Linked DNA regions of Danio rerio. The protein of the gene in region 1 binds, or shares a complex with, the protein of each later gene. Links are inferred from orthologs where the notes say so. Each region holds a gene or a part of one and is shown in the gene's direction. Other genes may lie near its edges.

Region 1 (7,827 bases):
AATTAATCGTTTAATACTGAATATGCCAAGGGATTTGAACCTGAAGTTCAGCTGTTATTGACTATGCAGATTGATCAGAACGGTCGAACATCTGCTTGATTTTTCCTGTTCAGTTTTTCTTCTTCAGTCCCTTTGTGTTTTCATGTTTTATGCATTTGTTTCATACACACAATTTCATTTACGTGTCTGTAAGAATGTATTATGTGTTTTGTATGTATTGTTCGACCATTACAGTGTTATTTCAACTTTTTGTAGAGAATTATAGAGAACCATTGGAAAAGTTGCTTAATAGTGCCCTCTGCTGGGCCATTTCTGTCATTGATCAAATGCACTGAAAATGAATCCTGTTGATGGACGAATGATATCAACAAAGTGACAACTCATTCAGATGTCACCCAGAGTATTAAGGGATTTATAAGGAAGGGCAAGTGTTTGTCCATAAATGATTAGTTGTAGTGCCATGTGTAACATGGACTTTTTAAGCACTTGGTTCAGGTTATGGATAAAGCATTTGACACATTCTTTTAAATGATAAGTATTTATATTATACATATCAGTATTAATATTTTGAGTAACTTTTATTGTCATTATGCAGTGTCATAATATCAGTATTTACAGAGGATTGGAAGCCTGATTTATCAACTTTTTAGTCTTTAAATGCACACTAACATATTCAAGCTGGACCTCAAACTCCAACTTCCTCTTTTTGTGTTATCAACACCACATAGAACAGGTTTTGTTCACTACGAAGCATTGATCATCCCAAAAATAGTTAGCAAAAATGAAGTAGACATTTGTACTCGGAAACAAGGATATACAGTCATGCCCGAGATTATTCATACTGTACCACTGACAAATTCTGACTTTAAGTTACTTTTACTCAACAAGCAAGTTTTTTTGGTTGTTGTTGTTATTTTTGTTTTTGACCAGAAATGACACAAGCTTCTCCCAAAAGATAATCAGATAACATATAAAAAACAAAAACCACAAAAAGTATTTGAACAAAAAATTATGTCAAGCTTGACTGATTCTAACCCTGAAATGTCGAAATCATTCTTAATATGAAAGCAAAGAATGGACAATCACAACCAGAAGCCAAATGGTGAATTCCAATCTTCACACTGACAGTTTTTCTTCCCCACCCCACCAAGCCCACAAGCTAAAAAATTCTGAATATAGTGCTATTATCCCCTGTGTCCCATCATGGCAAAGTAACAAGTGAAACAGAGTATTTGTCTTCAGCTTACTTTAAATTGTGTTCAGGGATATTTATGTGCCAAAGAAGCTCACAGACAATTAATGCTGAACATTTTCAATATTGTGTAGTTTCCCGTTGACCCCTTCAAGCAAGAAATCATTGCCCTCATCATTGTCAAACCTGTATTAAAAAACAGACATACTGAACTAATTTTCCTTTTTCCCACAATCACAAATCATGTAAAGCCATGATGACTATGTAGGTTAAAATATTAATTTTAAAGGCTGAAATACACTGCTCACCATCATGTCATTGAACATTTCATGTGTTACTTAATTTTGGTTTAAATAAGTAGTTCTTGGTGCAAAATGTCTTTTGAAAAAGCAAACAAAACACAACCATGAAATTTGTGGTCTGCTCAAAGTGTACCATGTTTATACACAAATTGTTTTGTTTTCCTTTTTTTTCTTTAAGGGATTTACATTTTAAATGTCTTATGTGTGCATAATGGTTTCATGTGACATTGTGATATTTGCATGAACAATCGTATTTTTCTCTGGGTAGACCTAAAGTGTCTGAGGGTCAGTTTAAATTCATTGTGTTCCTCAATGTTTTGATTGTAATCTCTACATTTAAAAGGGAGATTTCAATAGTAACATGAGTATTTATATATATTTTGTCACTCACATCATATGAAAATGATAGCAACATTTTTTGTACCAATTTCAGTAATATATTTGCTATAGATGTTAAGATTGTGCCTTATGAACGACATGATGCAAAATAAAGGTTTGGTAAAAACTACGAGAATATTTCAAATCATTTTCACTTTGATCTTAAATTGTGTTATACAGGCCCGTTGCCAGGGAGGGTTTGGGTGGATCTATTTTGACTGCCATGCCATCATAAATAGTGAAAATAACCCATTAAAAATGGCTTTAAGAGCAAACAGAATCCGTGCTGATGGAAACGGAATGTTGATTCAGTGTGGCTTCAGCTAATAAGTTTTGCCCAATGATATGATCCAGAGTCCAATATCCAGCTGTGCAAGTGAACACACAAAATGATGTAAAAGAAGTCATCTTTCACTACTGTATTGTTTTTAAATAGAAAAAAAAAACATTTTACAAGTAACTTTTATTATAAATAATTTAATATTTTCTTGTTTTGAAATGGCTAAATTCTGACTGAGGAAGGTTGAATGTGCTGGCCAGTTTATTTGTCTCATAAATGACAATAAGCTACAGTTTTTAATGTAAAACTTTAACAGATTCCTTTTTTTTCTAATGATATATGATGTAATAAATTTATAATTTTAAAAAATAAGTATTTTATCACATTTATTTATTCTAAATCTTTAGGAAATATTTGGTACATCAAAAAGTGTGGTTATAATGACCACCATCCAACAAGTGAATTCAGCTAAAAATTAGTGCTTAAAATGTCACTAAAATGCAGTATTTAAATTTAATAACTACATTGAAAGTTACTGCAAAAAGGTCTATGTTTGAAAAAAAAAAAAAAAAAGAACCACTAACTTCACCAGGCTACAGGCCTGTATCTATCTAAATGAAAAAAAAAAAATCCCAGCCCAACGATTTGCGTCTGACAATTACGTAACCTCTGTTTCCATGTGAAATGCAAATTCACATCCTTCACAAGAGTTTAAACCAATTCAAAGTTAGTTGTTATTCGACTGACACGTAATTTATCCTATCAGAGTGCTGTATTGTAGTGACTGGGCGGAACAAATACTGTCACGTAGGACAAAGGAATGAACATCACGCTTGTAAACTACTAAGGATACTGTTTCTCTAGTGCCTGGAGCAGACTGATCTGAGGGAGGATGAATAATCGGCTTCATAATAATTACTCACGCTCCCTTGTTCTGTTGTCATCTTGCTAAATATACTTTATGTGGTTCATTTGACCCGAGGAAGTAAATAGGGGTTACATATTGAAAATCCAATAAGCGTTCAGGTAACCGTGCTTAAACATAGAACATTTTTAAATATCCATGAAGGTAAACTCCACTGAGGTTTTAAGGTATTTTGTGACTGCGAAACGTGCATGAATAGTCAATGAATGCTATGCTAGTGTCTGATTGGTTTTCTGTTGTCGAACTCGTTGACATATTCAATCAACCATCGTTTACTGTTAACTTTTTGAGGTTAAAATAATACTGAAATTAGGGCCAAAGAGTAAAAGCGGTACAGACACATTGTTTAAAGTAGCATTAACCCGGAATTCTAAAATAAACCATCATAAGCTCTTCTGTAATAGCTTAACTTGAAGAATGGTGTGATACCTGCATCACCTGAGCGCTGGGTACACACTGTGCGTCATGCGTAAAGGGCGGGACTTGTGAGATCTCCCAAACAGAACAGTTACACACAGTAGCTTTGAACGACGCCGGACACACGGCAAACATCAAGCAGGGACGTACTTACAAAGAGCAATTTTAGTCCCGTTTGAACTTGTATTTAAACATGTCTTTGGGTGACCAGCAGTGGTATCCCACCAGCGTTCAGGTAACCGTGCTCAAAGCACGAAACTTACGTATCAAGGGCAAAAATGGAACGAACGACGCCTATGCCATCATGCAGGTGGGCAAGGACAAGTTTTCCACCTCGGTAGCGGAGAAATGCGTCTCACCGGAATGGAAGGAGGAAGCGACGTTCGACTTGCCGCTGGTACATCAGGGGGACGTGGAACGATGCACGCTGTACATCATCGCCATGCACCGTGCCCTGGTGGGGCTAGACAAGTTTTTGGGGCAGGCTGTCATCAATTTAGTGGACCTCCACGCCAACAGATCACGCAAGAAAACCGAGTGAGTGCCGTTCTGTCTTATACGGAAATAATGTAGATATGACATTATCTGAGTGTCATAAAATATGCCACTGACTCAAAAGTTTAATTAATAAACTGCCGATGAGTTAACCATAGCTAGTTTTGGTCTATGATTCTGCATGGAAAAGTTTTAATACTCCGCCCTTTTAGCACGGCATATTATTATTAGGGGGTCAAGCGCGTAGCGCTGAAACCCTATTGTATTTGTTAGGATTTTTATTATTATTATTATTCTGCCGAAGTCACTATTGCCCAGGCCAAACCGTAAGGCCGAGAGAGCTGAAACTTGGCCAGAAGGTAGTACCCCGGTACACTACGTTCTCACCAAAGATCAGCCAAATCGGACCATAGGTGGCGCTATGGCGCCAAAAACCCACTTTTTGGACATTTTTGGCCGTTATTTGTTTACCGTTTGTCGTAGACTCAAAAACTTTACATATTTTGAATCCTTGGGTTAACCCGAACAAAAGTGCACAGCTGCACTTTTTGCTCTACGGCGCACCGTTTTCCCGCTACATCGCAATTTGTCCGAAACCTATTTTTGCGAACTAGTCCTAGGTTTTTCACTCAATCTAAACCAAACCAGCTCTCAAATGTTCTCTAGACACTGAATATCAATAATTATCAAAAAAAAGTTGACATTTTTATTCTCACTCGAAACAGTACACAACAATGTTCAATGCTAATTGAAGCTAAATGCTAATTGTGGCTATAACTTTTGAACGGAATGAGATATCATCACCAAACTTGGTACACACATGTATAAGCTCAATTTCAGGTCACAGTGCAAAAACAGTAGACTTTGGCCACACTGTGGCGCTATAAAGCTTAAAAACCATAAAATGACTCTAACCTTACAACCGTTAGTCCGATCAACTTGAAATTTGGCATGCAGTGTCTTTGATCAGTTTGCCATGAATCATTATAAGGACATTGGCACATCTCAAAAAACATGGCCGCCATTAGCCAATAAATATTGAGCAGCCATTTAACAAGGTTAACGATCAGTGATCGTAACGAAACTCGCTGGGCATGTTCGACTCACTGTCCTAGAGGTCTGTAAGAATTTTGAAAGAAATCGGCCACTAGGGGGCGATTTTACACAATTTTAAGGTGTAATGAGTTGTGTATCACACAACCTTTTGCAAAACCACAGAAAATACATATCATATGATAGGCCTGCTTATACCGAACAGTTTGACACTAAAATCACTGCTGTCACTCGCACTGTTCATTAAATATTCATCAACATATGAAAAACCTACTTTTGCGAACTAGTCCCTGGTTTTTCACTCAATCGCAACGAAACCAGTGTTGGTGGAATCTCTGGACTGTGTAGATCAATAATTATCAAAAAAAAGTTGAACTTTTTACTTTGGCTAGCTGTAACAGGCTAATTTACAAAAGGGGCGTGTCCACACGGACCTACATGCCTGTAAACCAATAAGGAAAACTCACAACATCACAGAAATTGGTGAGCACATGTGCCATATCAATGAGAAGAAACTTGCAAAATTTTGTGAAGATCAAACCATAGGTGGCGCTATAATAGCAAAAATAGTCTTAAAAACATGCCAAATGGCTTAAAAATAAAGTAAATGTGCTTCATTTAAACACTATTTCACAAATACACTTAATCTACATATCATGTGATAGGTCTGCTCATACCGAACAGTTTGACACTAAAGCCACTGCTGTCACTCACACCGTTCATTAAAAAACCATCAATATAAACAAAACATACTTTTGCGAACTAGTCCCTGGTTTTTAGCTCAATCACAACGAAACCAGTGTTAAATGAACCTCTGGACTGAGTAGATCAATAATTATCAAAAAAATGTTGAACTTTCCATTTTAGATAGCTGTAACAGGCTCATTTACAAAAGGGGCGTGTCTACACGAACCTACATGCCTGTAAACCAATAAGAAAAACCCAAAACATCACAGAAATTAATGAGCACATGTGGCATATCAATGCGAATTAACATGCAAAATTTTGTGGTGATCGGGCAATAGGTGGCGCTATAATAGTAGAAATGGTTCTAAAAACATCATAAAATGGCTTAAAAATGCAGTAAATGTGCTTCATATACACACCTATCACTGAAATGATGTACAAGTTAATTTTTCTTGCCCATATTGGATGTTTAAATGTCTTAAAAACACATATTTTCAATATTCTATCATTTTAGCCACTATAACACAGACTTTTAACTGTCACTTACCATTTCTAACCACTAGATGTCACAACAAGACCACTTATTTATTGTTCATAACATTTGCATACCTTTGTTGTTTTACATCTTTTTGATTTGAAATCAGGGAAATTGCATTTAGGATCATTCTGAATCATATTTTGACCTGATATAAACACTGCTATGCATTAAACATCTAATTTGGTCACAGTTAACCTCTGTGTAATAATTCTAATAGGCAAAACTGGTTCTATAATTAAACACCTTGTTTTAAAACATGTGTAAAGAAAATCACAACTGTTGCAACTAGATGGAAGTAACAGACCACTCATAGTTTATAGTTTATTTTACTGCTCTATAGCAAAGAATGTTATGTAATGTAATGCATTCTGAATCCCAAATTGACATGAACTGAACACAATTAATGCATTTAAGATTAAATTTTGTCAAAGCTTGTCACATCTTTTACTCTGTAGATTTTTTAATTCTTTTAATAAAACACAAAATTATTACTTTATATAGTGATATAGTTTTGTCATTTTTGTTGGGAAGAGCTAAAATAGCCAAAACTCATGAATGGATTGAAATATCTACACCAAACTTATTACACATATGCAAGTGGTTAATCAGAGGTCATAGCATGAAACTCGTAGACATTGGCCACATGGTGGCGCTATACATTGTAAAATCACTGTATCTGAGTAACCATTTATCTGATTAACTAGAAATTTGACATGCTCTGTCTTTGTCTAAGGTGCCATGACTCGATCTACACATTATATCTTAGGGCTGCTTATACTGGTCACTTTGACTTAAAAGCGGTCACTCGAAATGTTCATTAAAATTTGTCAATATGTAAAAATCGAAGTTGCTTCTCTGGAGTGTTTAATCAAACATTTGTTAGCTCAATCTATAAACTTTAACACTCTAATCGTATATTTCGTTGTCGAATAAACTACTTACAGGCGTCCTAACTGCTATATGACCTTACCCTGCTAAACTGCTTGACCCCCGTTAATTGCTGCTTGCAGCTATATTTATTATTATTATTATTATTATTATTATTATTATTATTCCTAGACTATTACAATAAAATAATTATCAATAATGCATTGTTTTTATTTTAGTTATTTAACCTTTTCAGGCATTGAATGCAGGCTCTTCGTTTGTTTGTATGGTAACTTTTTTTCTAAAATGTTTTTCCCAATGTTTCCCAATTTTCCTACTCAGCATTTATCAACATTGTCAGAGACCAAATAATCTCAAAGGGGCTTATTTACAAATATGTAGCTGTTATTTTTTTAGTAATTCTTTTAGGTCAGTTTTAATCTTTCAATCAGTTTTAATACGTTTTTATATCTCAAAAGTATTAAAGGCAGTAACCCTTTTGTGTTTCGAAAACTAAAAATAAAGGAAATCGTCTAAAAATCCATGTACAATCTGTTGGCGGATAGTGATAAAGCAAATGACATCTCTACAACGTGTTTTTCCTATGTGACAAGAATCATTAACTTGCAAAATAGGGATGAATATCATAATTTACATGTTTTTTTATTAATTTTTTTTACAAATTGTATTTAT
Region 2 (7,067 bases), on another chromosome or scaffold:
TTAATTTATATACATAAAATCTACTGTTTATGAGATTTTGAGCTTTGTCTCTTTTTTTCTGTCTGCTTTCTAGAGCCAAAATGACGACCGCACCATATAACTATTCCTATATTTTCAAATATATCATTATTGGTAAGTCAGCATCCTGTTTTCACCTATATGTGCCTTTTTGTAAGATACATGCACAGTATATTGCGTTTCATACGATGCAATGTATAGTCATTAAGCACATTTGAAAATCTGGTTGACCAGAGTGCTGTACAAAGTAAAAATAAGAATATTAATGCAGCTAAAATAGAAGTAATACATCAAAAATTGTAATAAGCATGCTGTAACCAATGTAGTTTAATTTTCTTTTCACTTCAAATGACTTTGTGTTAATTGTGTATGATTGTGTGGTGTTTTCATAGGTGACATGGGGGTTGGCAAGTCCTGTTTACTCCACCAGTTCACAGAAAAGAAATGTAAGTGCAAGGGGTGGTGGCATAGACTGATACCGAGATGTTATAAAGGGATTATATGATATATTCAAGGGATCGTTCACTCAAAATAGTATGTTTACACACTATTTATTCACCCTCAAGTGGTCCCAAACCTCTATGACATTCATTATTCTGTTAAACAAAAAAGAAGGGTATTACTTTATTTTTATGGTCCCTTTAATGCATTTGGTTGAGTTTAAGTTACACTGCATCCACATGCCAACTAATTCTCTTCAGATTGTAAGTAGACTGCTAGGTTGGGGTTTGTGTTAGTTGACATGTACTTGCAACGTTTCTTATAGTCAGTTAAATGTCTGTTGAAGGAGCAGTAGCAGAAGATAGTCTACTAATACTCAAATGAGAAGTAATTGGCCTGTAGTTACAATTCAACTTTTAGTCAAGAAAATGTACAAAAAGGACCATCAAAATAAAATCTTACCAAAAGTAGATTTTGTAAAGAATGCTGAAAACTGGGAACCATTCACTTCCATAGTAGGAAAAACAAACACTGCCAATGGTTACAGATTTGCTTAATTTTTGCAAAGTGTCTTCTTTTGTGTTCAACAGTAGAAAGAATTAGAGGTACTTTATTACAACATTACAGTTACTGTGTAACAATAATAACTGTATTTACATTACAGAGAGGGGAAGGCTAGCGTTGGGGTGGGAGTAGAGTTAATAAAATAATCATTAGTAGGTCATTTTAATAAATAATAAAAATAATTCTTAATCTAAGAATCTCAAACAGATTTGGAAGAAGTAAATGATTTTTCAGTTTTTGGTGAAGTATCTCTTTAATAGTTGGGATATTAGATTTTTTGTTTTGATTCCTTAGTAAATTATTATTTATTATAATTATATTGCTTTGTGATAAGAAATTAATAAATATTTATTCATATGTATGCATATATGTACATATGTATGTATGTATGTATGTATGTGTGTGTGTGTGTGTGTATATATATATATATATATATATATATATATATATATATATATATATATATATATATAATTTTTTAAGTAGCAAGAGTTAAATAAAATTGAAGACTTAACAGATATTTATATCACAGTACAATTAATAAATGCTGCTAATTACAAGTCTTGTGTAATGCTATAATCATCTGTCCACAAAAATTGAGATTACGCAATTGCTGAAACAAAGTGTGACTGGAATGATGGATTTCAAAAGGCCCATATATATATTTCATTTAAAATCAAGGAAGAGCTAGTGTGGCATGATTTTCAGACAGAATTGGTTTGTTTTAACCAACAATTAGCTTGAACCTAGTCTCTGTTGTCCTCTTTCCTGATTACTTTGAGGGCAAGGCTAATGAGTAGGTTCAAATATTGATTTTCCCAATTTATTTTGTAGTTGAATATTGTGAAATATAATCATACACTATCAACATGTGACCTTTAAAAGATGGGAAATGTAAAATGACAGGGAGCAACAGCTTTTATTTTGTTCAGCAGCCAACCACTCAGGCTGCTGTTGGTTTGTTTTAGAATCAGAACTGGTAAGGGAACATTTGTCTTTTGCTTATACAATATCAGATGACATAGTTTGGCTTGTACATTTCAACATGTCCTGTGATGTTTAAAAATGGAGTATATGCAGAGCTGGTGTTTTTCAGCCAACAACAATCTTCTGGAGAAAGATTAGTGTTATTTATATTTTTATAAAGTTCCATAATCATAAAACGAGATGAAAAGCTGTCTAAACATAAACGCCATCAGGAGCAGCAGGCGATCACAGAAACTACATTGACAATACTGTGGGAAAGTAAATGTCCGTTTTAAAGACTTAGAGCAGAACAGTGAAATTTAATGCAGTGCTTCTTGTCTGGTCTGAGAGCTACTTTATTGTATATTAATCAGGCAGTGACGATCATTGATTTTTAAAGAAACCAGATATTAAACGCTGCACTTTTGTAATGGCATGACTGAAAGCATTTGAGCTGGCTAAAATTAAAAGTCCTTCTGCATAAACCCCATTAAATGACATCAGTTGATGGAAAGGTCTTTAGTGGAAACCAAATGCATTTGAACACATGAAGCCAAATCAAGACGGTAAAAGTGGACAAGCTCGAAACATTTCAGACACTGCCTATCATCTATTTTTAGAGTTTGTAAATAATTCCAACAAAAAAATCAAGCTAAAAAATCCATCTACAGTAACAGCAGATGTAAACATGGCGTCAGACAAATATGAACACAGAAAAGCTGCAGAATAATAGAACTGCCCCTCAATCTAGAAGAGAAACTAAATTTAACATCTGCATATTGGAGCCTTAAGACAAGTAAAACTTGAGTTTGCATCATTTAATCAAGATCCTGAGCTGCTCACAGAACAGCAAACACTTTAATCTGACATGGAGACAGAAGAGACAGAAAGCACTGATGTTTTGAAAACGCTACTAAATAGAATTTATCCTTTGTATATTAGTTATTGATTGCCGTGGTTTTAATCAAAGAGAGTTATGACAGGTCAATTTATCATGTCTAATATCAGTTTTCTTTTTATTTTTAAGTTATGGCTGACTGTCCTCATACAATCGGTGTTGAGTTTGGCACACGGATAATTGAAGTGAGTGGGCAGAAGGTGAAGCTTCAGATTTGGGACACGGCAGGTCAGGAGAGGTTTCGTGCTGTCACACGCAGCTACTACAGAGGAGCCGCTGGGGCCCTCATGGTGTATGACATCACCAGGTAAACTAATGTTCAGCTCTGATTGCATGGTTGATTTGCGAATGATGTCTTATTTTTGCAAGGCATCAAGAAAATAACTGAATTTGTTTTTTATTTGCAGGCGAAGCACGTACAATCACCTTAGCAGCTGGCTGACTGATGCCAGGAATCTCACCAACCCCAATACTGTAAGTTCACTGACTACATACTTCATACTGGCTGTATGAAGAAGACTATAAAACATTTACATTTAAAGGTCCTGTGAAGTGCTTTAAAATGTGCATTTTTATTTGATGTTTGACACAATCTTAATGGAACATAAATAGAGGGTGGGGCATAGTGTAGCCCCTCTATCTTAAAAAAAATAGCCTTTAGTGTTGTTTTATCACCGCTCTGCCAGCAAAGGATTGAGCTCAAGAGCATCAAATGAAAAGCAAATGCGAGTCCTGAACGGGGCGGGACATGTCAAATACTAGAGAGCATTTGATTGGTTATGATTTTATGAGTAACTGTAGTATGGGTTGACGTGAAAAAAAAAAAAAACATTTATCAATTTAGGTGAAAATGACAACCTACAAGCTTTACATGTTTATATCAGTTTAATATTTTCTAAATGGGAATTTTGTCCCTTTTTGCGGCACACTAGCTAATAGATATAATTGAAAAACTAACAATATTGATACTAACATATACAAAACGTAATTTTAATTTCTCTGGACCTTTAAGTATACAGTGTTGGAGCTTTATACATGTTTTAACAGCTTATGTTGTGTGCTTAATCGCCTTAAACAATGTAAATAATTCTTCAGGTCATCATTCTAATCGGTAACAAAGCAGACCTAGAAGCCCAGCGAGATGTCACATATGAAGAGGCCAAGCAGTTTGCTGAAGAGAACGGTAAGATGCTTGTTTGAAAAGGGAAAATGAAATACAGAACATTTAGGGGATTTGTATTTAGGCTTTTTATTTAGTGGTTTACAACAATGAGTATGCAGGATAATGATAGTAATAAATACTAAGTTGATTTCACCATTAAATAATCAGACTAGATTAAAACGTTAAAAATTAATATACAAAATCATATTTTTTTTCACATTTTCTTGGTAAGTGTTTTATTGAAGAACATACACTTCTGCAATACAGACTGAAGATGTGTCATGGGCAAGGCCAGACAGAGTCTTCAGACATTTACTTTTTTCTGCCATTTCTGTGCATTTTTTGTTAAAAAATAAAATGTGCAGATTTTTGCGAAATGATTTTGAGAGTATAGAAACAAAAAAAATAACACATGAAAGCAGGAAACAAATAACCACTTATTAACTTTTATCGAAGGTTTACAATGCAGATCCTATTAAAACCACGTTTACCACATCTCCACTAAAAGACTACAAACTATTGTACATAAATTATATAAAGATTTGCATAATATTCAATAATATTACTAATATTTATATAAAAAAACTAAATAATTGTTTACACAAGTAAATAAGTAGACTCCATAATGGGCTAAAAATCTGCAGATTTCTGCAGGTGTGGATTCTGTGTGTTGGGTCTAGTCATGGGTAATTAAATTAACATCATTATTCATTATGTAATAGCCAGAGCAACAATCAGGATTCAAACGTAAAAATTTATTTTCTCCTGTAGGGCTCAACAATAAGGACTGCCCGATGGCCAGGGCACTCAGGACAGTAGACAGGATTGTTACTGGCCCAATATGTGCTGCCTTGTATTATTTTATAAAAGTTTCATTTGTCTCCGATTATTTGTCAATTGCGTATGAATACAGTCTTACAATCGAGAAACAGTTTGTGCTTTTAAGCCTTTAAATGCCACCTTCTCTGTTCAGTTCCTCTTATCTGATTGGATGTTGTGATTTCTTTTTTTGTAACCTGGTATAAACCAGTACAGCGAAGTGACGGCAACATTAAATGATGAGGCTAAAAGAATGTCTTGTAAGCAGACATTTACATGAGTACAACGCAACGATTTGCTCATTATGCATTTATTAACATTTAAAAAATATTTAAATTCTAGATTCAAACACATTTTTGACACAATATTTAAAACATAAGAAATAGCTATTAACTTTTTTTATTTTTTGGTGGGCCAGTGAAAATATTGCCAGGGCAAGTAAAAAATCTAAACTGCTGGCCCAATTGGGCCAGTAGAAAAAAATCCTTAGTGTTGAACCCTGCCCTGGGAATGTTATTTTAAACCAGAGCTGTGGTAAAAAAAAAAAAAAAAGTTGTTTGAGAAACCAAATTTGCATCAACAATGCAACAGATTTTCGAAATGCATCATTATTCCCTCTTAAGTTCGATTCTGAGAAGGAGCTTTTGGTCCATAGGAAGTGTGCTTATACATTCCACTCATGCAAGATGGCTTTTTATGTAATGATATGAATTTAAAGAAAGCTCACTATGAACACTCTTGCACATGTAAACCTTTCCTACCTTCAGTAATGGTCATTTTAGGTTCAAGTGGTATTTGCAGAGAATTAAATGCAAGCAGAGTACGTCTGTTTGTAAAGCATACAGCATCTGCTGTTAAAACTAAACTCTTAAATCAATTCAAGAGAGAAAAGCGATGCACTTTGAAAATCTCAGAGTCAAATTGTTGATTTATTTTTAACAAGAACTAATATTTAAAAATTCAAGACATTTTAAGACAGACCTGTTATTAATTGATTGTATATGCTTTTGTTTAACTCATACTTGCGCATCATTTCAACTTCATTTTAAAATGTTTAATAACAGAAATTAAGGAGAAAACTACATTACCCAGAAAATTCCATGCATGGTTTCCGCTACATTCATTCTTCCATGCTGGGGCACCACTCCAAAATTGATCCGCTATTGCTACATTGCAACTTTTCATTCAAAACATTCAGTCATGTTTTTTAAATGATAATCTAATAATTGCACCAAAACGTATTAAAAGGTAAGTGAATTATAACAGGGCAAACTTTTCTGTAACTGTAGTAGTGCTGTGCATCATTTCTTTAACCCTTTAAGATTACGTGCTGACTGACAGGTGCATGATGCGTGAGACCAGCAAACACAACGTATAACCATTTCGCATTACTTCAGGACGCATTAATATCGCTCTGTTGGTCTATTGGAGACATTTATAAATATTCCCAGCAAATCTAATAAATCTTGAAGACATACTTGTTACATAAATGCATTAAATCACACTTTAGCAGCGTTTATTTGAGAGCGCACAAGAAGATCTGCGCTTGAGCAGTGTATATTTGAGGGGGCGCGCAATAATTTTGTATATGAACAATGGAAATCGGCGCGCAAGCAAAGAGATTCGCATGCTCGTAGGCTATTACATAAATGCGATCGCGACATTTGTCATTGAAATAACGCCACAGGTAGTTGGTAGATCTGTGTAAAAGAGGCCTGCCACCACAGCTGGAAAAAAATCCAAGAGGAAACACTGCCACGGTCACAAAGTTGAATGTGATTCCTCTCATAGCTGGTTGGTTTAGTTCATAACACAAAACAGACTTTTTGTATTATATTAATGGGGAAAATACTTTGTACTGTAAAGTAGATGTGGTCTTAATTATAAGAGAAATATGAACAGGCTCTTCTAGTCAAAAAGGTGGAGTTCCACTAGTTATTCATTTAATGTTTCACTAACTTGAGCACAAGCTTGCTTGTTGCTAAATAAAATTAACTACAAGGCTAAAACGTTTAACTGTGGCATTTTTAATCTTTTGAAACAGGTTTGTTGTTCCTTGAGGCAAGTGCAAAAACGTAAGTGACTTTCAGACCATCTGCTGTCAGAGCCTCCTCTCTTTATCTGTCATAATATCCTTCACATTCTAGCTCATCTTTGCGTGTCTGTTCAACAGAGGCGAGAATGTGGAGGATGCTTTTC

Evidence for each region.
Region 2: the proteins of rab11fip1a (region 1) and rab14 are in contact, whole or in part, in a crystal structure (PDB 4D0G), measured with the Homo sapiens proteins. The link is inferred for Danio rerio from reciprocal best matches to the Homo sapiens genes RAB11FIP1 and RAB14. Residues at the interface, in NP_001002814.2 of Homo sapiens: Glu1252, Ile1255, Asp1256, Asn1257, Leu1259, Val1260, Met1263, Pro1267, Asn1268, Leu1270, Arg1271, Ile1272; in NP_057406.2 of Homo sapiens: Leu28, His29, Ile44, Gly45, Val46, Glu47, Phe48, Gly49, Trp65, Arg72, Arg74, Ala75, Val76, Ser79, Tyr80.

What each region holds. Positions count from the first base shown.
Region 1 is NC_133183.1:44,909,606-44,917,432, reverse strand, and holds the start of rab11fip1a (uncharacterized protein rab11fip1a), read left to right. Parts: upstream 1-3,578; 5' UTR 3,579-3,687; coding exon 3,688-4,031; intron 4,032-7,827. UniProt on the Homo sapiens protein: A Rab11 effector protein involved in the endosomal recycling process. Also involved in controlling membrane trafficking along the phagocytic pathway and in phagocytosis. Interaction with RAB14 may function in the process of neurite formation.
Region 2 is NC_133180.1:69,325,776-69,332,842, forward strand, and holds part of rab14 (ras-related protein Rab-14), read left to right. Parts: intron 1-73; 5' UTR 74-80; coding exon 81-132; intron 133-410; coding exon 411-464; intron 465-3,016; coding exon 3,017-3,194; intron 3,195-3,294; coding exon 3,295-3,361; intron 3,362-3,982; coding exon 3,983-4,070; intron 4,071-6,912; coding exon 6,913-6,943; intron 6,944-7,041; coding exon 7,042-7,067.